Arabidopsis thaliana: one gene and its partners. The protein of the gene in region 2 interacts with the protein of the main gene of each other region in a pairwise test. Each region holds a gene or a part of one and is shown on either strand. Other genes may lie near its edges.

Region 1 (5,873 bases), on a different chromosome or scaffold from region 2:
ACAATTTTTAAAATACTGCACTTTTAAAGCAAAATAAGACAAAAGAAAAAATTGAGAGATCAGACGATGTGCTAAGCTTGGAAGTTTGGAACAAGACAATTTCGCTGTAGCAATATCATGAATTTCTTACATTAATTGCACCTTACTTTCGCTTCCCACTAAAAGATTGGACTAATCGTAGCTTCATGAACACATCCATTTTTTTTACTTTCGTAGCCACATAGCAAACGATGCTAGCAAAAAAGTTTACTCATCGATAGGTGTCGACTTTTGAGAAAGATATGAAATAATGAAAATGACAACTTCATTTATTTCTCTCGGTTGATCTATGAGATCCTAAAGTATCTCCCATCTTATTCTCTTTTCTTCTGTAAGTGTCCAAAAAAGTCTGTTTAGCCATTGAAAAAAGTCGCATAGCTATTACCACAAAAAGCCAAAGTGAATAATTATTGGTACGTATGTTATGTTTCCTTTTCTCCTTATCAACTCTACCTTTTCTTGTCAAGGAATCTTATCAGGATCTCAATTTTGCAAGGCACCAAAAGGAAGAAACCTCTTATTACAACCAAGCACTGTGACAATTACATAGGACTTCACATATCTTCATCTATATATCTTCTTCTTCTTCTTCTTCTTTACCACACAATCCATTCCTTTTTTTTTACATTGAATCTTCTCAAATACATGCATAAAACAGATAAACAAACAAACAAAAAAGTATATATGAACGAATAAATTCCAGGTTTATCCTGCTAACGTCCATTATCACGTTGCGAAGATAATATTTAATCCCGGCCTATAGACCAAGACTGGTCTCGAGCTGCTGGGGTCCCTCTAGTAACTGGTGTTTCCCCTGTTGCTGGGACCAGTAGGCATGAGCCGTTAGTACCCGGTCTAAGAGCTCCTGTGGAACTGGCTCACCTCTCCTTTGTTGCGGTGATATTCTTGCTGTGTGCACCAGCGTCTTCCATTTGTCCTAATCAATCCCAAAATTAGTTACTTCTTGCACAAGAAACATAGACCTCATTCACTGTAAGGAGAGAGTTTTATTTTACCTTCAAATCAACGTAAGTACGGTGCTTAGCATTATCAAAAGCTCGCAATTTTACGTCACGCCACCTGCAGATAGATATGCACAACAATCTTAGAACTATCTTGAACCAATTATTGATGGAAATTAAGTCTTATACTTTGGTGAACATAAAAAATTTAGTTACCTTCCGGTCCCAAGTCTCTCCACAGCTTGAACAAGGGCCTCTACTTCAGCAACAGAAAAAGGTCGACGGATCCTACGCTGTGCCACTTCAGATCGCTTGGTTTTCCGAGGTGGGACTACTGTCAACGCCTGAGCATGCAGAGGAGATACAGGAATCAAGGCTCTCGAGTAGATGGTTTTACCCCTATTTGGTGCAGAGGGTTTGGAGTCAAGGTCACTTTCTACAGAGTTACTCGGTTTAGCATGCTTCCCTGGTGATGGGAGACACCTAATGATGTCAAAAAAGTTTTGGAAAACATCAGAAACAGAGTTCTTCTCTACACTAAAGAAAGAAGCAGCATACATTGACCTCTGGATAGAGACTGACCTTGTTAGAGTGTGAGGTACATTACAGGGACGTGCAAAGTCAGAATCTTCAGGAGATAGTGGTTTTGTGGATTGTGGAGGATTTGGCTCAAGACAAAACCCTAAAGTGTCTGAAAGAGTGTCTAGAGAGAGTCCAGTCTGTAGAAGCATTTTACTGTCGTCTCTAACCTTTTTCCCATGAACCAGAACACCTATGCGTAATCCACCTCCAAGTATCGAGGTCACAGCTTCCAACACTGTCCTCTAGCGAGAAGAAGTAAAGTTTCATCAATCATTATCCATAAACATGAAGGAGATCCTTCCAGAAAATTATAAGCCGAAAAATCCTAACCTTTAGCGAACCGACAGTAGCTGTCTCTGGAATTTCAATGAAAAGTTCAGGGACTCTAAATGACTTGATTCCAAGTTTCACTAAGCACAACAAGAAAAAATGAACAGAATTAATACAAAAATCTGATTGGTAAAAATAACAAAAAACCTCAATAGAAATAGATACCGTTATTAGAATCTCTTGGTGATTGGAATGCTGCAGGCTGCTTCTGACAAGCTATGGATGATAGAAAAGCTGAAGCTGCCAAAAACAAAGTTCAAAGTTAATCACTATATCATCGTAAAGTGATTTTTGACGTTAAATGACTAGCTTCCGATAATATACCCTTTCGAGGTGAACCAGACTGGCCTTCATTTTTATTTGTTTCCTCGGATTGTGATGCTGTATAACCATCAAAGTATCTCCTTTTCTTTATTGGATAGTTCCTCTCTGATCTTAAGCTTTTAAGACAATGTTTCTTGCTATAGTAATCAGACTTCAAGTCCAAGTCTAAAACATTTTCAGACAAAGACACATAAATAAACCATAACATCTTGAAAAGTACATATGACTTGCTCACAAATGGTCCATAATGTTCACCTGAATTAGTTACTGTTGTATCTTTCAGCTTTGGAGGGACTTTACAATACTTGGAAGCCCAAACTTTCCTTATTCTTCTATCTCCAATACGCAGAGTTGACCTAAATGATTTTGTTCTGTAACAGGCTGAGAAGTTTTCGCCATCATCATTTTCCTTACCGTGTAAATCTACATCATCGGAGCATGTTGAAGGATTTTGGGGAATAGGTTTCCTGAATCCACTACCTATATGTTTCTCATCCTTACCTACAACATTCCTTGATAACTTTGCTTCAAAATTTAACCCTCCAAGCATTGATTTCTTATCATTAGACTCTGACCTATAGCAATCACCATTATTGATCTTGGATTCATCATACGCCAATTCTTGAGTTTCAAACTTCTCAGAGGAATCAGAAGTTATACCAGAAGAAGATCCAAAATGGAACTCTTTAAGGGGACTTGGAGATCTATTAAAGCTTTGCATTTCATGAGATTTTTGAAGAATCTCAGAGACAAAGAAACTCCGTTCAGCATTATTATTATCATGATCAGAATTTGTAGTCTCTTCTTCCACCATTATATCGCCGCCGTTAAGCGGCTCTTTCTTAACTGCACACTGATCTTCATTATTACCAGAGGTATTGTTACTTGAGGAAGAAGAATTCCCACCTTCAAGCAGCAGTTTTCCAGCTACTGCAGCCAACAAATCGAAAGACGATATTTGATGGTTTTCGCTTTTCTTCTTGAAAGCACTCTTCTAGCAAAACACAAAACACAAACATATATATCAGAAGGGAACATTAGAACATATATAAAACTGATAAGAAACACACAAAAAAGTTAAGAATTGTATTTACTCTTGGTGATCTGGCAGCTCGAGGTGTGTGAGGCACCTCATAGCCATTGAATCCATAATCGGGCCTCTTTTGCAACACCATGATTTGAAGAACATTTCAATCATTCAACAAAACGAAGGCATTCTCACGGATTACAAGATCCCTGGAGAAAAACAATTAGGTTACTGAGTCCAACAATGTATTAGCATTTATCTATAAAATTTCTTACGTTGCAAGAAAATCTCACATACTGTATATGTGATAGCAGATTATTTCCAATTTCAGACATCATTTTTTGTAAAACCCTAGCTAGAATCCAAGTTATTGAAATTTCCACGATCTAAAGCCTCATTTGATTAATGACCGTAGAGTGAAAACAGAGCATGAATTTACCAAGAAAAATAATGAACAATTCTGGTCTTGTAATATTTTCATGAAAAACAAACACGGTTCAGCTTCTGTGAGAAACCAAATTACAACATCAAAAAACCCTCAAGCTAGAAAACTATAAACATAAAAAACCGCAATTCAAATTGCAGATCCAAAAAAACTTCAAAAATAATCTCACCTTTTCTTCTGAAACAAGGTGAGATCAGAATGTTTATGATCTTATTTTCTCATCAACCCACACAAAGCAAAAAAGTTTCTGTCTTATTATTTATTTTTTGTTGTGGGAAATCGAAAAACCCCTTAATGTGGGAAAAAAGCACGGAAGGAGACAAGGGCTTAAACCCCTGGTCTTATACGAGAGTAGTAACACAGAGGACGTGTCTGAAAAAAGAAGAAGAGCGAATAACCGGCTATAACCAGTAAACCCCACCCTGAAGACCTGTTCTTCTTCTCCCTTCTTGGGTCACCACCACTGTCTCACGTACTTCCCCCTGATTCGGCCACGTGTTGTCTCTGTCGGATCGTCCGGCTTTTTTTACAACACACAAACTTCGACAATAACGTTGAGTCACACATGCCATGTAATGTTTTTTTTTTCCTTTCAGTCCAAGCCATGTCATTCTCCTGTTTATTTTATTTTGTCTTTTTCAGTTTTTCTTCTTCTATTTTATTTTATAATAACAAATTTGTTTTCATTGAGAACCCTATCTATTTTCTGATGCAAAATACTTTAACCTAAACCTAATTAACCTAACCGATCGATCAATTCGGTTTGCAGCTATCAACCGATCGGCAATGCTTCAAATATACTTTGGCATCACTGAACCGAACGGTTCTTCAGTTCTTTCCCAACCTGCCGAGAATCCGAATTGAATAGTCCTTCTAAATGCTGGAAACTTTGAACGGAACGATGGATCTGAGAGTAAATACCGAAGTGAAGCTCGTCTTCTTCTTCTTCTTCTCTGTCGGTAGCATCGAAATCGCGAAGGACAAAGAACACGTGTTTCAAGAAGATGAAATTAGGATTTCTTCTTGGGCTTACAAAGTTCCTACAGCCCAAAAAATAACATTTCTACACCACAGCCTACACTTTCGGCCCACAAAATAAAAACCCAGTGAATTTCCAAGCCCACCGAAAAAACCGAACCGCATAAACAGATTCTTTAAACCGAATAAAATCACAAATATCTGTATGAGTGGATATTCTTCTTGTATAATTAAAAGAGTACTTTCAACTTTCGATAGCACAAGAAGAAGCTATTAAGTATCAACACGTTCAACATACAGACTTAACACCCAAATTGTGCAATAGACGCTTCATAATACAAATTATACAGACTGATCATTATACACCCAACCATGAGAATAATGACTAACGTGCCTTTGGGTTTATTTCGGTGTCTACAACTATGCTCAGTTCCAGAGGACTGCTTAAGTCCACCTCTTGGCTTTTTCTCCACTTTTCACATGTTTCCAAACATTCGTTTAGCACATGAACGACCTGAGACATGTTTGGTCTCTCTTTGGAAGTACGGTTCACACATGACATTGCCAATTCAACAACTTTCCATGCAGAACTTGTGTCATAATCTTGATGGAGGTTTGGATCCACTATACTTTCAATATCACCATTTTCGAGTATAAAACTGGTCCATTCCACTATGTTACAATTTTCACGGGATAAATCAATCACATCTTGGCCGCTGATGATTTCCAGTAAGACAACCCCAAAGCTATATACATCACTCTTCATGCTTAACAAGCTGGTTTTGTGGTACCTATAACAAAAGATTTTAAAGATATGGTTCACTTTTTTTTTCAGAAAGCAAGAAAATCGATCGAAGACATGCATGTTTAAATGTACAATGTGATATAAATCCTCCACTACTTACTCCGGATCAAGATATCCAAATGTTCCAGCAACAACCGTAGGTTGAGCTTCATTTCCTATTAGGAAGGATCTTGAGAGTCCGAAATCAGCAATTTTGGCCTCAAATTCTTCACTCAACAATATATTAGTACTTTTGACATCTCTATGAACGATTTTTGGCTTGCATCCAGTATGCAAATACTCAATTCCTACCATATGTTAAACCTCGTATGTTAACTAATTATCATAAATATGGAGTTTAAGAGAGAATTTATATATATCAGCTTAAACTATATATAATAA
Region 2 (5,393 bases):
TAGAAATAATTTAAATTAACAATTAGTTTTTCTGTTAGTGGATCTATATATTAATATCGTAATATGTCCCTTACATATGTACATTTTTGGCTACTGGATTAATTTTGCCCCTTAAATATGTCCTGAAACGGAGCTGATGAAACATATACTCGCATTAAACAAGCTTATGGCTAATCATGGGAACCTCCATGTATTAATGACCACTAAAAAGATTTACTTTCTATTTCGGTATATAAAAAGGGTTTCCGCATTTAAAAACGGAAAATAAAAGAAAAACAAGTTACCACAAATGTCGAGATATTGTTGGCTAGCTTGTCAGATCTTCACCTAAAAGCTGAAACCGATAGAGTTGCACTCATCATCACTATAGCCCATCATTTTTACTATCTAAAGTTTTTGTTTATGCGCATCCACATGACGATTTTGCTGCAAACTTTTTTTTTAATCATCTTTTAAAAACATATATCCGTACTTAATATTCCCAATACACTCTTCTAGAGCTCGATCATTCCATGGACGTGAACATTTTGTCTTTGTTTCTCTTCCCTTTAGTCAAACAAACATTTTGTCCTTGTTTCAAACTAAAATCGATTTCTTCTAAATAAAGGAAATTCATTGACTAAACGAATGATTTTAGTGAATGAATGAAAATTTCTCATTGTGAAGCCTCTGTTTCTCTATTTACTTTTTTACTATTTAGAGTACCTTTCACCGAAATTTTCAATCAATTCCTTTCAATTTTACTACATGTTCAAGCATTCGAACAAAAGCAATCGTTGCAAAAAAGACTAGATCGGAATGCCTTCTACCCAAAAGAGAGAACTCAATGCAAACTGTTTATGAAATTTTTGAAAAAAAAAACTGGATTCATTCCGGTTGTTGCGAGTACCAACCAATGGAGAAAGATTGACCTTAGTTATTGTAGTTATCAAGGCCAAGGTCTCTCAGTGCATCAGTTGCAGCGGCTCTGCATGTCTCATTGTTGGCTTTAGCAGTTCTTATCAGCTTCTCGATTCCATTAGCAAGCAGAATAGTTCTGTAGTGTGCATGCAGACAGAACTTGATATTATAAAAGAGTTTGCGATATGTGCATATTGTTGGATGACAAGAATTGGAAACAGAGCAAAAACCTGTTCTCTGCACTTCTGACAGCAATGTTCCGTATCATGTTGCAAGCGTTTCTCTGCATTTGAGCAGCTACTGGGAACCTCTTCATTGCTTGGACCGCTAGATCACCAGCTCCAGCTTCTATAGCCTTGGCTGCGTGGTCTGGTGATCTCAGACAGATTATAGAGATTATCAACATCACCTGAACCAATCAAGTATATCTTGGATCAACCACAAGGATTATGCACTCAGACCCTAATGCTACAAGAAACATTCTTCACACGACATTACGTTCTATCTAGTGGAAAACTGCCAAAGACGTGACCTGTAGTCACAAGTATCTTCTCTAGACAGGAAGATTTAAAATTGCGCATGGGACATAGTGTCATAAGAGGGTTTTCGTTTGGTTTATATACTTACCTCTTGTATGACTAGAGGATCATCAGAGAATCGTAGTGCGAGTGTGATTAGCTTGTCCAGACCTTGCTTCTCAACTATGGTACTCTTGTTAGAGTCACTTCCTGCCAACTAGAGATCAAAATACAAATTTTAGATAAACATTTATCATGCGTGGTTACAATGCTAATCTAAATCAGTAATAGGCTTTGGAAAAGCTTAAAATTTGAGAACATGCATTTATTAGAAGCACATGAACATAAGCTACTCCTTAATATGGTGCGGAAAATACTTGAAAGCCTGAGTTTTAAAGAAGGATTTTGAATAACCAAAGGCAATGAAGACAACAGAGGCAGCCTGCAGGGCATATTAGAAGCTACTCACCTTAGACAACAGGGAACAACATGTCTTAGCAGCAGTTTTGTTGCCTTGCTCACCGCTATCATCAATACACCGAAGAAGTGTATCTATTCCACCGGATTCAGCAATAGATTTACATATTTCATCCTGTTTACAGCAAAACCAGATGAAGAACTTGCAAGAACCTAACCAGATAAATGTTATCACACAGAGATTTCAACTAGGAGACTTACATTGACAGCAATTGCTTTTAACGCAGTACTTGCTGACACCAAACTATCAGAGCCAATCCCTGCCTGTAATGCTTCAGTGAGGGCTGTCGCAATCCCTAATTTGGCAAAAGTTCGTGCATAACCATAAACCTGAAACACATGGAAGCAAAAGTCTAGTGGATTTGAATTCTCAAAGCATGTCCATGAATAAGCACAAAAAACAACGATTATAAATGTTTGCTAAGTGCTATATAGCTGTTTTCCCTTAATTTCATTCCCGCAGTCAAAAGTGGCATATACCAAACGAATGTAACCATACTTACTTGGGAAGCAACAACACGGAAGTCATCTGGAGTCAAAAGAGCACAAATAGCATCGTACAGAGCTCTAATGGTAGTTTTACTCTCTCTATTCAACACTTGCAGAATAAGTTCATCGATTTTCAGTTCCATGAATAACTGTTTCACAACTTCATTACCAGTTGCTGCAGCAGCAACAACCGCAAAACCAGCATCTAACAAATCAGAATCGGAGCTGGAATCATTTAAGAGATCAACAACGATATTTGGTCCAGTACAATTCCTGAATCTCTCTGTGCTCTGAATGTCTGCAATTGAATAACACATGATCAACACAAATCAAAGTTAAAACACACAAGAACGACTAATTCAAGAACAGAAGTCATACCACGGATCAACACAGCCAAAGCCTTAAAGCAAGGAACAAGAACACGATTACTTCTAGTAGATATCTTGATTTTGGAACAAATCGAGCAAGTTAAATCCACAGCACCATGTTTTGTCGCAATTGCAGCGTTCCCTGATTCTTGGCTGCTACAAAGCTCATTGAGATTCTTGAACAAACTCGATATCTCATCGAAAACCTCATCTCGAAGAGGTCCGTCTATTGAAACACTGTCGAATTCTTTTAGTCTATCTAAACAAGCAATCACCGGATTGTCCTTAACGCTACTTTCTCCAGGAACACATGTAATGATCCCTGTACCATAAACAAACACACAAATTGAACTAACGCCAGTTCGAGAGGAAGGCCAATTTCTGGAGAAAGTAAAAAGAGAGGAGAGAATGTAAACGGACCAAAGAGATCGACGCCTTGGAGCTTGAGAGTGTAGAGAGCGTCTTCGAGAGCTTCGGAGGGATCCATACCAAGATCTTCAACATTTTCCCTAACCAGATCGTCGAATGCCTCCTGAGATATTGTACGGACACCCATTCTCCTTCCTTCGCCGCTCCGATTCGATAGATCGGAAAAGATGGTTTTCAAGTAGAAAGCTCAATCGATGTTTCTTCTTCTACTGATTTGAAAGCAATTAATTAAAACAGAAACGGTGTCTTTTTGAAATTAAAACGATGTCGTTTCACTGTTTCGAGACCACAGGCACTGTTTCTTTCTTCTACCATCATTTTATTTCAGATAATTATGAAATTTTTGAATCTTTAAATCACTCATCACTCGTCTTTTAGAATATCCACTTCTACTCTTCGAACATTTGTTCAACCCTTTGATCATCTAATCAAAGATTAAGATCCTTTTCCAGAGAGATCTTTTCCAATCAATATTTTATTTCCACTGTTAGAAAAGGAGATATGTATATACTTTTAAAGTCTGCAATATCATTGTCTGTAAAACTGCACACGACTCTCGAGGTTTCTATGATCTACTACCAAACTTATCCACAAGGATCAAACTGCACAAGACTTAATAGATTCACGTGTCTGTTACAATTCCCTTTGCTCTAATTCCGGCTCAATTGCTGCAGCTGCTAGATGTCTAACCTGCTGAGCTAGGCGTCTCCTCCGATATATCCCTACTAAGCGTAGAATCAGGATCATAGCAATCGCAGCGTAGTCAAAAACTGTCACTATTCTGAACCCGCCTGTACAAAAGAGGGCAAAATCAATCTTGGAAAGCTTAAAAGCCTTAAACACACCACATTGAGATTGTTTAACCCTTCATTGCTGGTTTTTGATTTGTGAGGCAACTTACCCGTTGGAATGAAGTTAAACTCTGCGGCAGTGTAAAGGGTACTCATGAACATCTGCAAACACCGACAGAAACTTAGTTTCTCATCTTTCAATGGCCTTTAAAAACAAGAATAAATACAAACTAGTTGCTCCTATGATGATTACAAAGATTGTCTTGCTTGGCCATTAGTACAGACAACAAATGACAACAAGAATAAGTGGGTAGAGATATAACTAAACACTAAACTATGAAATGTAAATTTCAGGGTAAGATGTTCTTAACTGCAAAGATGCGCACTTCGTGAAAATACAGATTGTTCACATCTGTATCCATCATATGCCACACCATTCTCTTCACTAGAAACGGAAGCTCATGCACCTTCTGAATTATTCGAAAGATGGTGGTTTTGCCAAGTCATAAAAAGGAGAAATAAGTATATACATAGATAAGAAATGCATGAAACAGTAAAGAGAAGCAAAACAAAATCATGAATCAAAAAGACCGTACCTGAACAAAGCCAGTTAGACCTCCAACAAAGAGACGGTTATACCTACGGACTTTATCAAGAACCTCCTTCACCTCTTGCTCCTGACGCTCTTGCAAAGATGGTTCTGGTGACAGCTTCGTGATGTGCCTAACACACATGGGACACTTGCAAGGCCTAGATATTGCAGCATAGTTCCAGTACTGCAAGATGCAATTTCCTGTAACAAAATCAGCAACCGGTTTAAGAAACTTTCAGATCTTTTTATGACATTGCAAACAACACTCCATAGTAACAGAGCATGGTTTAAAAATCAACACTTTCAAAAGTTAATCAGTTGTGATAAATCATTCTTGGCTACCAAAAGGAACCCTAAACCAATTCCAACCCAAACAATTCTCCAAATTTACCTCTGACGAACAGAAATATCCCAAAAAGACACAAGCTTGATACTTCAATGTAGATGAAATGGCTCAAGAGAATCAAGAAGAAGAAGAAAGATGAAAAGACTAACCGCAATACCAATGACCACAATTTCCACGACACGGAACCGTAAAGGAGCCGAAACAGATCGGGCAAACATCATCCTCTGGAGGCGACTCGCTCTCTATCTTCCTCTCTCCACGATTGTCTGGCTCAATATTCCTTTCCTCAGCCGACACGACTCCGTCAGCAAGCACAAGCTCGTTCCGATCAAGATTTTCCGTCACAGCGGCGGCGTTAACCTCCGGAAAAACATCGGCGGTTGTTACCTCCATCTCATCCCTCAGGGATTTGCTGCTCCCCAAGGAAGACATATTTACTTCCGAAACCTTCTTCGCTTTCGTCACTTTCTCAGAAGTTTCCTA
Region 3 (6,080 bases), on a different chromosome or scaffold from region 2:
ATCAAGCGAAGCATCTCAAGTCATAAAGGTTTATATTTGCATTTACCCGGTACACTCAAAAATCCCAGCTCTTTGGAAGTTTGCCTCTTTGCTTACATAGTTGTATTTTCGAATTTTGCTAATCTGAGGTCTGTACTTTGCAAGTTGCAGGAGATGGAAAATAAGTTTAGCGTGTAAAGGATGTCAAAATGCAAGGTTCAACAATTGTCTCTCGTCTTTGATGCAATATATGGGTCTTAGAATTGCGAAGTAGGTGTAAATTAGAGGAGGATGGCGTCACATTGGGACTCGAAGTTGAAACTATGTTTCTACACTTGACGGTTCAACATTGTAGGAAACTAAGTAACAAACATTGTTAGATGATTCTAAACCTTAGAGAAGTTTATGAATTTGTGAAGAAATGAACACTTTGGCTTAGTTAAGAGTCTTTCCACCAATAACAAACACTTAACTGTGTCTAATATTCCAAAATCACAGAGCAGCAGTATTTCTTATCTTTCAAATTGGGTTATTCACATTTTGTCAAAGATATCTGTCACAATATCACTCTCATCTCTCATGTGTTTTATTGAAAAAAAATTAAAAAAATTGAACGAAATAATGAAGAAGGTTTGACCTGTCACTTGTCAGAAAGGATAGAACATAAAAGAATGTATAAAATTACAAGATCCCTTTTTATGGACCGAAATTATTACACAATGTAATCAATGTTGAAAAAACAAAGATAGAACCTAAAAATTTGGTTAGGGACGAATCTCATCCCAGTTGGAGTCATTTACAGATGCCAAAGCAAGGAAAAAAAAAGTGTATGTAGGAGAAAAAAAAAAACGAGAAATAAAGACAATTAAACTTTGCAGAAATTGAGTTGTCCATTTATTGTGTTGTTTGCTTCTGTACACCCACCCACCAATGCGTACCTCCTTTTTTACACTGAAACACCTGATTCAAAAGCTCCACCTCTGTTCATGTCTGGATCTTTGGACGCTCCTCTCGCCTGATGTTTTCCTTGGTGCTGCGACCAATACCCGTATGCCCTCAAGACTCTGTCTAGCAGTTCTTGTGGCACCGGCTCTCCTCTTCGTTGCTGTGGGGATATACTTGCTGTGTGAACTAGCGTCTTCCATTTGTCCTGCATATTCACATGTTCTTGAGATATTAACCTGACTGTAAGACGTGATATGTTCCAGATTACATGTTTGTGTCTGATGTGTTTACCTTCAAGTCCACGTAAGTCCGATGATCTGCATCCTCGAAAGCACGCAATTTTACATCACGCCATCTGTGTGATCAGATATATCGACCATTAGCTTTTGAGCTTTGACATTATCCCACGACCAAACTACATGAGTTATGAAAGAACTAGTGTTATATACCTTCCAGTCCCGAGTTCCTCAACTGCTTGTACAAGAGCTTCTACCTCTGTCACAGAGAAGGGTCTCCTAGTTCTCCTCTGGGCTAGCTCAGTACGCTTAGGTTTCTGGTTCAACGGAACTATGGCAAGCGCCTTGACTTCCAACTCTGGAAGTGGGACAAGCTCTTTTGAATCTGATGAAGGTTCATCAACAGATATGTCACCCTGATATGGAACTAATTCGAGGTTACTGTCCACAATATTTCTTGAATCAATCACGTCATCTGCATGTGGAATTCCAGAATCTAGCATAGGAGACGCCGCAGACCTGGGATGATAATTCAGAACCGCTTTTGCTTAGGAATCTTCAAGAAGAATGAACACCAGTGATATTCAACTAAAGCAGCACAAGGATATGATAGCGAATTTCTTAGTACCGTTCAGACAAACTTGTAGGGTCGGTTGGCACAGCAGGATCTTCAGAACACAAAGGTAGGGGAACTTTGCTGGGACTAGGCTCCAAGGTGAACCCAAGGTTGTCTAGATTTTCATCACATGAGATCCCAGTCTGGGACAGAGTTTTCCTTTCATCTCTAACCTTCTTCCCATGCATTAACACCCCAACACGTATTCCTCCGCTGAGTAAAACACTGACAGCCTCCATCACAGTCCTCTGCAACCAAAAGGGTCAAAGAGCAAAATGGTAATTTGTTAACACCTCAATGTCCACACAAGAGAACCAAACAAATGTGAAGAAATACATATTGGCATATACCTTTAGTGATCCTACTGTTGCAGTTTCTGGAACTTCAATAAAAAGCTCTGGAATCCTAAAGGACTTAATGCTTAGCTTTACTGCACCAGAGATAAAAATACATGAGAACCACATTATCCTGTCTCCGGATAAATGTCTCAGTATCATTTACCATCCAGTCAAGTACCATGGGAGCCTTTTGAGAGGACCACAACAGCTAAGATAAGATAACTGAAGAGTTTTGAGATAGACTACAATAACCACCTGTATCTCCCTTCTTGGGTAACTTGGAAACACTTCCACTACTGAGTCCTCCATCAGAAGTTACGACCGAGCTTCTGTCAGGTGATCTTCTTCTCTTATAAATGATCTCACGCTGCCATGCGTTGTAACCATAACATGATTTTCTTTTGCGATAAAGAGTCTTCACACCCACATCTAGACATCCATGTTTAAAGTAAGAACAGGGTGAATCACAAAAAGAAGAAATGTGTTCAAAGATAAGTGAAGCAGGCTGTGTTATACTTACCAGCTCTACTGTATCCAAAATCTTTTGGAACTTGTTTCCAGTATTTGGACGACATGGACTTTCTTATTCTTCGAATTGTTGGAGACCTATACGACTTAAATTTATTGCTAAGTTTATGGTAACTATAGAATTTTTCATCATCATCTTTTCTACCTAGGTTAGTATGGTTCCCATGTCTAGCATAGGAACCATTAGGGGTCATATCCAAGGTGGATGGTGATTTTAAATCACCACCCACACAGACTGATTTCGGAAACTGCAGACCTAACGCAGTTGCATCCTCTAAGTTGCAAGTATCAGTGACTAAGCCTCCATCACCCACGCGATCGGTTGCTTCTCCTTGCTCGAACCCATTATTTACATTCTTGTTTTCACACCCTACATCCATCAAACCATGAATCTTCTTGTAATCAGACATCGGAGTCCGCTCCAAAACGCCGTCACTATCCGGAAATGAAAAACAACTGTTCACCACACACTTCTCAGTAGAGATATCATAAGTAGGCTTTGACACAGAGTTTCCTTGGTCAGAAGACTCAGATTTAATAGTCTTGCAATTTTCTACTTTCTCTTGCTTAATTTCTTCAAATGCATTAGAAGACGCAGAGGAACTCTCGCTTTCCTGTAGAATCTTTCCAGCCAAAGCTAGTAAGTCAATTGCACAGATCTGAGTGTTATCATCATCATGATCAATCCTCTTGTTTAGAACCTTCCTCTGGAAAAAAAGATTCATCAGAAGGCAAATTCATGACATTGAGCTAACAGATCCAGATGAATCAAAATTTACCCTGCATGAACGAGGAGCTCTGGGAATGTTGGGAAAATCAAATCCCACGGAAAGGCAATCTAACTTTCTCTTGAACACCATCTCTCAAATATGCATATCACTAGCAACACAAAAACAAAACAGAACAGAACAGAACACTGTAAAGAATCAGAAAGTAGCAACAAGAATCATAAACAGTAAACACCAATTTAGATCAGATCAACACGACCAAATCCGAGCCTTTGATGTAAGAAAGACACTGAAACAAGAAATGGATCACGCAAATGGAAAAGCGTTGGTAAAATTGAACAAGACTCAAATGCTAGAAGCTGCTTACAAATTCAATTATAAGATTCGAGACAAGATGAAAAGAAACAGTAACCTGATCAGATCTCGAACAAATTATTTCGACCCGCCAAAGAAATTTAATGGAAATTTGAAAACCGGATCAGAGTCAAAGGATCAAAAACCACCCAAAACCCCAAGAATTTTACAGATCGGTAAGTGAACAAGTCAATTGCGATGAAAAAACTCACCTATCAGCCACCAGTTTCTTGATCACGATCGCGAACCACTTATTATTACAGATCACGCTATCTTAAAACCCAAATTCCCCCATACCCGATTTGTGTGTTTTATGTATATATAAAACAATGTACAAAGGAAAAATTAGAATCGATTTATACAAAAACTCGAGATTCTAAGATTTAAAAGAAATGAAGAATTCTCGAGTTATTTTTTTTTTGTGTGTGTTGCGGTAAGAATCCGTCGTTGTCTTTAGAAAAGAAAGAAGGAAGATGACGTGAAAAGCCCCATTGAAACAGAAACCCCTTTTTTTATAATCATTCTTGTAAATTAAAATAAATTAAAAAAGTTTTTATTGACCACACAAATAACAACGGGTTTGAGATGAGGCAGTTGTTGTAAACCGGTAAACCGGCTATTGACGGTCACCCTTGTAAATTTATGGTAAAACACTAAAACCCCTCTCTCCGGTTAACAGGCTATTGATGGTAACCCTCTCTCTCCGGGAATCATCAGTTCATAACCCCTTAAAGAAGATAGGTTTGTCAGAAGAATCTTTATTTTAGGGATCGGATAAAAACAATACAACAGTGCTGTTTGTGATTGGAGTGGGGTCCTTTTTAATATACTAGTACTACAAAAGCTGTCTTTATCTTCCACGTGGGTAGAGAAAGCCTGTGACAACTCCATTGCTTTGGTAATAACGTCGTCACAAGGTTTTTTAAGTGTTCATTCAACTTGAGTGATAACATGAATTTCTTGATGAGATTACATGTTGAAGCATGTGCTAATGGGGCCAAAATGAACGTGTTATGTGTTTTAAGGTATTTTGTGAATGACAATGTTCGCGCCAATCTTATGGCTATTTTAGTGGGACTAAACTACTAAAGCATATGCTTGGCTAATTAATGTAATGAGAATCGAAATGGGTTGAATCAAACATAAATTTATGGCCGGCTGTTGAATCGAATTGTTTGTTTAATTATGTCCGTCTTGGACTTCTGAGAGTGTCTGTCTACTTCTGTGGCTGGCCTTGGAGACTTGGACCCTTGTAAATTATAACCATTCATGAATATGGGCCGCATGACGATTAGTAAATGGGTCGGATCGGACCATTCTATTGGAAGAGGTACAAGGAAAATGATCAGGCATACTACATACATTCTCCACAAACATGGACTAATCATTCTATGTTCCTTCTCTAATAAAGCTTTCACTGAATTCATGATTAGTATGTAAACCATCGTTGATTACAGTTTTATAATAATTAGACGTTATATATTGGGAGAATGTATGCATGCATGAAATATTTCAAAAATTCATATATAGATCTTGTTGTATCCTAGCTCGTTTCACTTTTAGTTTGTAGTTTGTACTAAACAAATACTGAAATACACATGCATTTCTTTCGCTTTATATAAAAACATATACACATGCTGCATGCACTTCAATCATATTGAAATCTCTAATTGGTACATTTTCGTACGATTTGTTGATATACTGGATTCATAGGTAGGTAAGTGGATTTATTTAAAAAGGCCAAATTTAGAAGAAAAAGAAAAGAAAAGAGAATTAGAAGGCAAGATATATATATATATATATATATCTTGCGCGGTTGCATGGTTAAGCATCAAGGCACAAAGGGACAACAACGACATTCTATAAAGAAAAAAGACGAAGCATCAAAAGGGGTCTACGGAAATTCAACATGGAGTATGGAGCTTAAAGATTTTTTCAATAAACCCATATAGTTTTATTATGCTTTTGTATGTTAGAACCTTGAAAACGTGTGGTGCCAAATAAGGAGAATAGTTTTATAACAGTATTTCTTACTTTAATGTTTATTTAATAAATTTAATTCTGAGTTACTTTGCTAAATTTTTTATTTTATCGAATTTTAAGATGAGCGTGTTAATATAGTTATACAAGTTTTTTCCCTTTCTATTCATTTATGTGACTTTTGTATTCATGAAATTTTTAAGATAGAACTACAATTTGAACGTATTAAGTAAGTGTCACAAGCTATAAAAGTTTGCTTGTGGATTAAAGAATTGTGCGAACATTGATTTAGTCAAATCACCTACCGACACGGTCTTATATTTGAGTCAATTATACATCGTTACTAACCTATTATAGACTATAGAGAGAGAGTCAG
Region 4 (6,069 bases), on a different chromosome or scaffold from region 2:
GATCATCATGTAACCAACCCTAAATTCAATCAGAAAATCGTTGGAGATCTAGCTAGAAAACATCGGAATATGTAGGAAATGTATCAAAACACACATTCATGAAAGTCAAGGCGGCGCGTGGAATTTGGACTCACCTTTAAACAACATCAACTAAAGATTCGACAAGGTGGTGATAAGACGTCGCCGGATTCGTTGGTGGAGAAGAATTCCTCGACGGCGTGAAGAAGCAGTCGACAAAAAGAGGGGTTTAGAGAGAGCCGACGAACCATTTTCAACACAGCTCAAACCCTTCAAATCACTCGGAGGGTTTCTTATGGATCAAGTACTGACCGGTTTACAGTTTTCCGGTTCAGAGAAGAGATTGGTTTTTGCTAAAACAACTTGAACTGGATTTTCCAATTGGTTCACCGATCCAGCGATCAGACCAATCATAGTGTTAGTGTATTAACGACGTTGGTAAGTGACAATTCGAATTCAATCACACGACAAAACTCGAACTCGTGGAATCAGACAAGTAGCACATCAAATAATTATACACACGAGGAATTTTTAAAAAGTCTAGATAAGAAATATGTAAAGAGAATGAGAATGTCACAAAAGATGTACAACAGATCCTCTAAAAGCCCTAAACTGGTCAGAGAAACCTTATTCCAGTTAAAAACTTTACATTGAGAAAAGTTAAAAAAATCAAACCAAAGTAAAAGACCAAATCTTTGCATCTATGTCAGAATCTTACATAATCATCAATAGTAGTAGTAATACACAAAGGAGAGACGACCTCCAAGGCTGCAGCAGATTCATTTAGAGAAGTAACAGACCCTCTGTCGTTTGAGACTGTGTCTCCTGCTCCAGCTTGTTCACATTCTGCTGCAGCTGCTGCATCTGTTGCTGCGTCCAGTAGCCATGGGCGTTCAAGACTCGGTTTAGAAGTTCCTGCGGCACTGGCTCTCCTCTCCTCTGTTGTGGAGATATCTTAGCCGTGTGGACCAGCGTTTTCCATTTATCCTGCACAAATACCAAACAGTTATTTCTCAGACCTAATCATGCGATTTGGTTTCACCGAATTTAGAATTTAAACTACTGATTAAAATGCAAACCTTGAGATCTACGTAAGTGCGGTGGTCAGCATCCTCGAAAGCACAAAGCTTAACATCTCTCCACCTACAGTTTTCACCAAACTTTAATCATCATCTTCTTCTATTCACAATCACAAATAAGCCAACACTATATGACTTGTATTAGTGTTTTTTTACCTTCCAGTACCGAGTTTCTCAACTGCTTGAACAAGTGCTTCTACTTCAGCAACTGAGAAAGGTCGACGAATTCTGCGTTGTGCAGCCTGCTGCTGCTGCTGTTCACTTCTTCTAGATTTCCGGGAAGGTGGTTGTGATTGAGAAGACAATTCGTTGAGCGCCACAGAAATCATAGCTTTAGAATCTTCTGTCACATTATTGTTGCCTAATGAGTCAGATGGGAATAATGCTGAGTCATGATGGTCAGATTCCAACACATTGTCTATTTTAGTAGCTTGGCACACAGGTAGCAGCTCCTCACAAGCATGTCCCAACGGGTGACTGGAAAACAAATAAGAAATTAAGCCACAAAAGATTTGAATAATTAAACACAGTGGCGGGTTTTAAGTGGTGAATAGAAGTCTGAACCTAGTTAACAGTTGAGGCATTTCTGAGCTGGGTTCAAGGCTAAAATCAAGAGAGTCCAGGTGGGAGTTATCCTGAGAGATACCAGTCTGATGAAGGGTTTTGTTATCGTCACGGACTTTCTTCCCCTGAACCATCAGACCAACTCGGTGTCCATCACTCAGTAAAGTGCTCACTGCTTCCATCACCATTCTCTGCAGAAGCCAAAGGACCATAAGAACTTACTTTCTTAATAGGAGGCGAAAGGAAGAGCTGTGTAATGTTACCTTCAATGAGCCAACAGTAGCAGTTTCTGGAATCTCTATGAAAAGCTCAGGCACCCTGAACGACTTGATCCGTAGTTTCACTGAAATAAACATTCTCATGTTAGCTTCTCCGCTTTTGTAAGTAAATAACACCGACAAAGAATTCAGATGAGACTCCATTGTTACCATGGGAGTCGCTTGCCACAAAGGATGCCCCTTGACCTTTTCTACTACCTGCAAATTAAATTTACAAGATCTAGTTAAAACAACAAAGAGAAAGCTAGCTACAAGATCTAACAGAGGTTTAGGCGTAAAAAGTCTCTTTACCTCTATGCATCTTAGTACGCATACGGTAATCATCAGTAACGGAATCAGATATGTGGTCAAAGTTTTTCCTTTTCTTGATAGGATAGCTCCTCTGCTGGTGCAAGTAATAATTTCTCCACGGTTTCGTATCTGCAACACCAAATACATGTCATTAAAACAAAACCCATCAAATGTATTTAAGATATGAAACAGATAAGAACCCCTTAGGCAGGCTACTACCTGAATGCCTTGAACCTCCTTTCCAATGTCTAGAAGCCAATATCTTCCTGATTCTTCTGTCCCCAATACGAGGTACAGTCCTAGGTGAATGTTTTGTAACACGCGGGTGAATGTACTTGGAAAAGTTTTCATCATCATCTCTACTAAACAAATTTACATCATCCCGAACGCCATGGGAAACACAGTTCCCAATTGATGGCACTTCGGTTCTACTACTACTACCTAAACTAACTACAACATTAGGTCTCGCATCCAGAACTACTGCATCACCATCGATATCCGGTTTTACATCTTGACTGAAGTTCCCGACTTGACAAGCATCACTACCACCAGAGTAACTAAAACCATCTACCTCATTCTCTACTTTGCCATTTATCACAGAACTGAATCCGCAGGGACTCAAAGATCCCCGATAAGGGGATAAAGCTACTGGCATTAGAGGTTTTTCTTCCTCCGGGAATTCCTCCTTTACACGATGATCTTCAATCAGTTTGTCAATAGACATGAGAGAACTCCCACTCTCAAATGACAAGTGTCCAGCTACGGTGGCCAATAGATCAATTGCACACATATTATCATCTTCTTTACTTATCCTCTTCTCGATACTGCGCCTCTTCTGGCCAAAAGATGAAACCAAACGTAAGTAATCATATAAACTGATAATGAACTCCATACAACTAAAAAAAACGCATGAGTGATAAGGCCATTACCCGGGCGGATCTGGGTGCTCTTGCATTGGAAGGTACCAGGTAGCTTGCGTATCCAAATTCTTCTACACACTTATGCGACACCATTTCTCAGAATGCATAACACGATTATGTGATTGCCACAAAAGAAGATTGTTGATCAATGGCTTATTATCACACCAATCAACGAAATTCTGTGAATGTAATTCCCAACCTGTAGATAAAATTGAGAAATCAAATTAGAAAGAGACATTGAAATCAAAAGAAAACGAGATAAAATAGCCAATGGTTTTAAATTTAAAAAAAAAAACAGAATAAAAGGGTTTTGTCTCTGGAAATAATGCATGAAGCAAAAAAAGGAATGATTTTGAAGGTTTTGGGTCAAAGCCCATTGAAAAAAGCTTAAACCACCCTAAAACCCTAAACAACTTTGAGATCTGAAATTGAGAGTCAAACCGTCGTTCCAAATATTTCACCACAGGAAAACCCTAAACCATAAAAAAAAATTTAAGAAAATAATCGTATGGACGAAAAACTTCGATCTCAAGATCAAAGGACCACCAGATCACGGGTGTTCAAAAGGGTTCTAAATCTCAGATCGGATTTTACAGATCGAAGAATAAAGCGATGAAAGATAAAAATCGACGAATTTTTTTTAAAAAAACGTAAAATTGGGATTTACCCAGAGATTTTCAGACCAAGGTAACGAAAATCTCCTTGGTTTTATGAAATTCAAAGACAGAATCAGGATGACTAAAAAAAAAATGACTGTAAAATCTCTCACCTTTAAATCTGAATCTTTAACTTTTCCGGCGAATAACACGACAATTACGAGATCGGAAAATGAAAAGACAAACGCAAAGAAAGGACTCACACCAAAACCCCTTCTTCCTCGAGAAAGTGACGGAAACTTTTTATTCTTTTTATTATTTTACTTGTTTGAAACGCTACCCACACGATGCGATCTTCTCTCACCACAAGCAAAAACAATCTCCTATTTCTTTCTCTCTCTGTGAAACGCCACAAAAACAAAAACCCTTAAGAAAGACGACCACATTTTTTGCTTAAACCCTTTTTAAGCCTATATTGACCTTTTCCCCACCGGTCCTACCGGTTATACTCTTTCTCTTCACCGGCTATTATCGGTCGACACCTTCATCTTTTTAGACCAGGTTCTTCGCCACGCTTTTACATTGCTTGTAATCCCTCAGATCTTACCACGTGGCATAGATGTATCATCACATGACTCCTGAATCTACCCAATCAGAATATTCCATGTCAAACCAAAATTACATCTCATTAAAGTTACACTTTATTTACTTGCAGATTCTTGAAAAAAATATATGCAACTTTCATTTTCTTATTCAGTTTTAGTAAACAATTTACAAAAATTACTTTGATTTTCCTAGTTCTTATCTTTGAAGAAATCTAAGATTTTTTATATGGAATGTTATAATTACACACTAATTTTTTTACCAAGAATATATCTTTACTCATTAATTTTAAAATTATCTATTTTCAAGTATTTAAAAGAGTTGAGTTTGGTTTCATAGTATTAAATCTAAAAGTTCAACTATAGACTATAGTCATGGATTCTATATATATAAATTAATATTTAGGTTAGTGGAGATAATCTGTAAACTATAACTATACGACATTCTGTCACGTGGCAGGTGGATCTACCTTTTTTTTTCTTTTCTTAATACCTTAATCTATAGCTTATATAATTATACTCAGTTTTAGATAATTTTGTACATCATTATCGTCTCTTTATGATTTTTTTACTTAAGGAAAATTGCCCTCAAAATCATGTTCATCAATTTTTGATTAGTAATAATATTTCTGATCACTTGCTCCAATCGGACGGTAGAGATACTTGCAGAATCTAACGTCAAATGAGTCTCTGTTTTACACTTTTTCAGTTATGTTTTGTAGGATAATAAAAACAAACCGTCAAAATCTTAACGTCTAGGGGAGGATAAACCATAAACGGCGTTGGATTGACGGCATCTAGTTCGGTGTGTGTATATTGGAAGGAAATGTGTAAACGGCGTTAAGTTCGGAGATAAGAAATCTTGGGTCCCAGTGGGCCCATGTACCTAACAGGTGGGCCTCATCCTATGACAGGGATAATTATCGAGAGTGGCAAAACTAAAACAAATATTTTAATGTTAAGTATACGTTAAAAATAGCATCAACCAGCTTTTGAATGTTAATTGGTCTATTTTCACTTTGAAAACATAAATCCAAACAACTATTTAAATTTTGATTACATGTTTAATTATTTTAGGAACAAAATGCTATGTGTATTTTCTAATGATTTCATATAGCACGAATGTTGTTCTCTTGTCTAGCTACTGATACTATAGAATTATAATTTAATAAATTATATATTATAGATGATAAGATATTTTTTGTTTGTTACAATTGTAAATAATAATAAACAAACAATATATTATATAGATATACATATTTGTAAAACTCAATAAATATATTATATATTATTTTCGTAGAACAGTGATGTGTGTGTGATAACATTTCAAAACCACCCACCTTAGAAAGGATAAGATGAAATAAAATATTTCTATTGTTTTTTTTTAGGATAAAAGTTGAAATAATTAAACGCTTTATCATGATCGATGGAAATCTATTGGCCCGTCCATTTTAAATAATGATTTCACGATTGTGAGGATAAATACAATAATTTGAATTACTTCTTCTTATTGGTTCTCATCTAAACTGGGCATCAATCGGAAATCCAATACTAGGATTATAATTTGGATTTTTGTTGTTATCCGAAATTTCTTGATATTTTTAGTATTGGAATGGATTTAATATCTTGGCCAAATATTATTATGAAAAAAAAATATATATATATACGAAATTGTCTAAAATAGAAACCAAACTCGTGTGGGTTACGAAAAAGGTTCCATG

Evidence for each region.
Region 1: the proteins of AT4G33945 (region 2) and TRFL2 interact in a two-hybrid assay, tested with the Arabidopsis thaliana proteins (one study listed by BioGRID).
Region 3: the proteins of AT4G33945 (region 2) and TRFL9 interact in a protein complementation assay, tested with the Arabidopsis thaliana proteins (one study listed by BioGRID).
Region 4: the proteins of AT4G33945 (region 2) and TRP1 interact in a two-hybrid assay, tested with the Arabidopsis thaliana proteins (one study listed by BioGRID).

Annotation. Positions count from the first base shown.
Region 1 is NC_003070.9:2,317,637-2,323,509, forward strand, and holds TRFL2 (TRF-like 2), read right to left. Parts: upstream 4,029-5,873; 5' UTR 3,879-4,028; exon of another isoform or gene 3,746-3,878; intron 3,474-3,745; 5' UTR 3,413-3,473; coding exon 3,332-3,412; intron 3,232-3,331; coding exon 2,493-3,231; intron 2,403-2,492; coding exon 2,238-2,402; intron 2,154-2,237; coding exon 2,079-2,153; intron 1,994-2,078; coding exon 1,914-1,993; intron 1,826-1,913; coding exon 1,584-1,825; intron 1,485-1,583; coding exon 1,218-1,484; intron 1,120-1,217; coding exon 1,056-1,119; intron 977-1,055; coding exon 797-976; 3' UTR 507-796; downstream 1-506. Other genes in the region: AT1G07550 (Leucine-rich repeat protein kinase family protein), read right to left, coding at 5,073-5,478, 5,593-5,779. UniProt on the Arabidopsis thaliana protein: Binds specifically to the plant telomeric double-stranded DNA sequences. At least 6 repeats of telomeric sequences are required for binding.
Region 2 is NC_003075.7:16,266,034-16,271,426, reverse strand, and holds AT4G33945 (ARM repeat superfamily protein), read right to left. Parts: upstream 3,544-5,393; 5' UTR 3,309-3,543; coding exon 3,173-3,308; intron 3,075-3,172; coding exon 2,763-3,074; intron 2,683-2,762; coding exon 2,399-2,682; intron 2,226-2,398; coding exon 2,097-2,225; intron 2,011-2,096; coding exon 1,888-2,010; intron 1,636-1,887; coding exon 1,528-1,635; intron 1,310-1,527; coding exon 1,131-1,309; intron 1,037-1,130; coding exon 913-1,036; 3' UTR 502-912; downstream 1-501. Other genes in the region: AT4G33940 (RING/U-box superfamily protein), read right to left, coding at 3,815-3,972, 4,083-4,134, 4,344-4,442, 4,569-4,765, 5,060-5,342.
Region 3 is NC_003074.8:3,981,347-3,987,426, forward strand, and holds TRFL9 (TRF-like 9), read right to left. Parts: upstream 4,280-6,080; 5' UTR 3,937-4,279; intron 3,559-3,936; exon of another isoform or gene 3,522-3,558; 5' UTR 3,503-3,521; coding exon 3,422-3,502; intron 3,350-3,421; coding exon 2,635-3,349; intron 2,544-2,634; coding exon 2,370-2,543; intron 2,207-2,369; coding exon 2,127-2,206; intron 2,025-2,126; coding exon 1,789-2,024; intron 1,680-1,788; coding exon 1,374-1,679; intron 1,280-1,373; coding exon 1,216-1,279; intron 1,130-1,215; coding exon 926-1,129; 3' UTR 534-925; downstream 1-533. Other genes in the region: FDM3 (XH/XS domain-containing protein), read left to right, coding at 1-26. UniProt on the Arabidopsis thaliana protein: Binds specifically to the plant telomeric double-stranded DNA sequences. At least 2 repeats of telomeric sequences are required for binding. Induces DNA bending.
Region 4 is NC_003076.8:23,965,428-23,971,496, reverse strand, and holds TRP1 (telomeric repeat binding protein 1), read right to left. Parts: upstream 4,281-6,069; 5' UTR 3,920-4,280; intron 3,887-3,919; exon of another isoform or gene 3,818-3,886; intron 3,623-3,817; exon of another isoform or gene 3,350-3,622; 5' UTR 3,244-3,349; coding exon 3,160-3,243; intron 3,066-3,159; coding exon 2,450-3,065; intron 2,360-2,449; coding exon 2,231-2,359; intron 2,138-2,230; coding exon 2,090-2,137; intron 2,005-2,089; coding exon 1,925-2,004; intron 1,853-1,924; coding exon 1,662-1,852; intron 1,575-1,661; coding exon 1,254-1,574; intron 1,162-1,253; coding exon 1,098-1,161; intron 1,006-1,097; coding exon 802-1,005; 3' UTR 787-801; coding exon of another isoform or gene 744-786; 3' UTR 501-743; downstream 1-500. Other genes in the region: ZEU1 (P-loop containing nucleoside triphosphate hydrolases superfamily protein), read right to left, coding at 95-100. UniProt on the Arabidopsis thaliana protein: Binds specifically to the plant telomeric double-stranded DNA sequences 5'-GGTTTAG-3'. At least 4 repeats of telomeric sequences are required for binding. Induces DNA bending.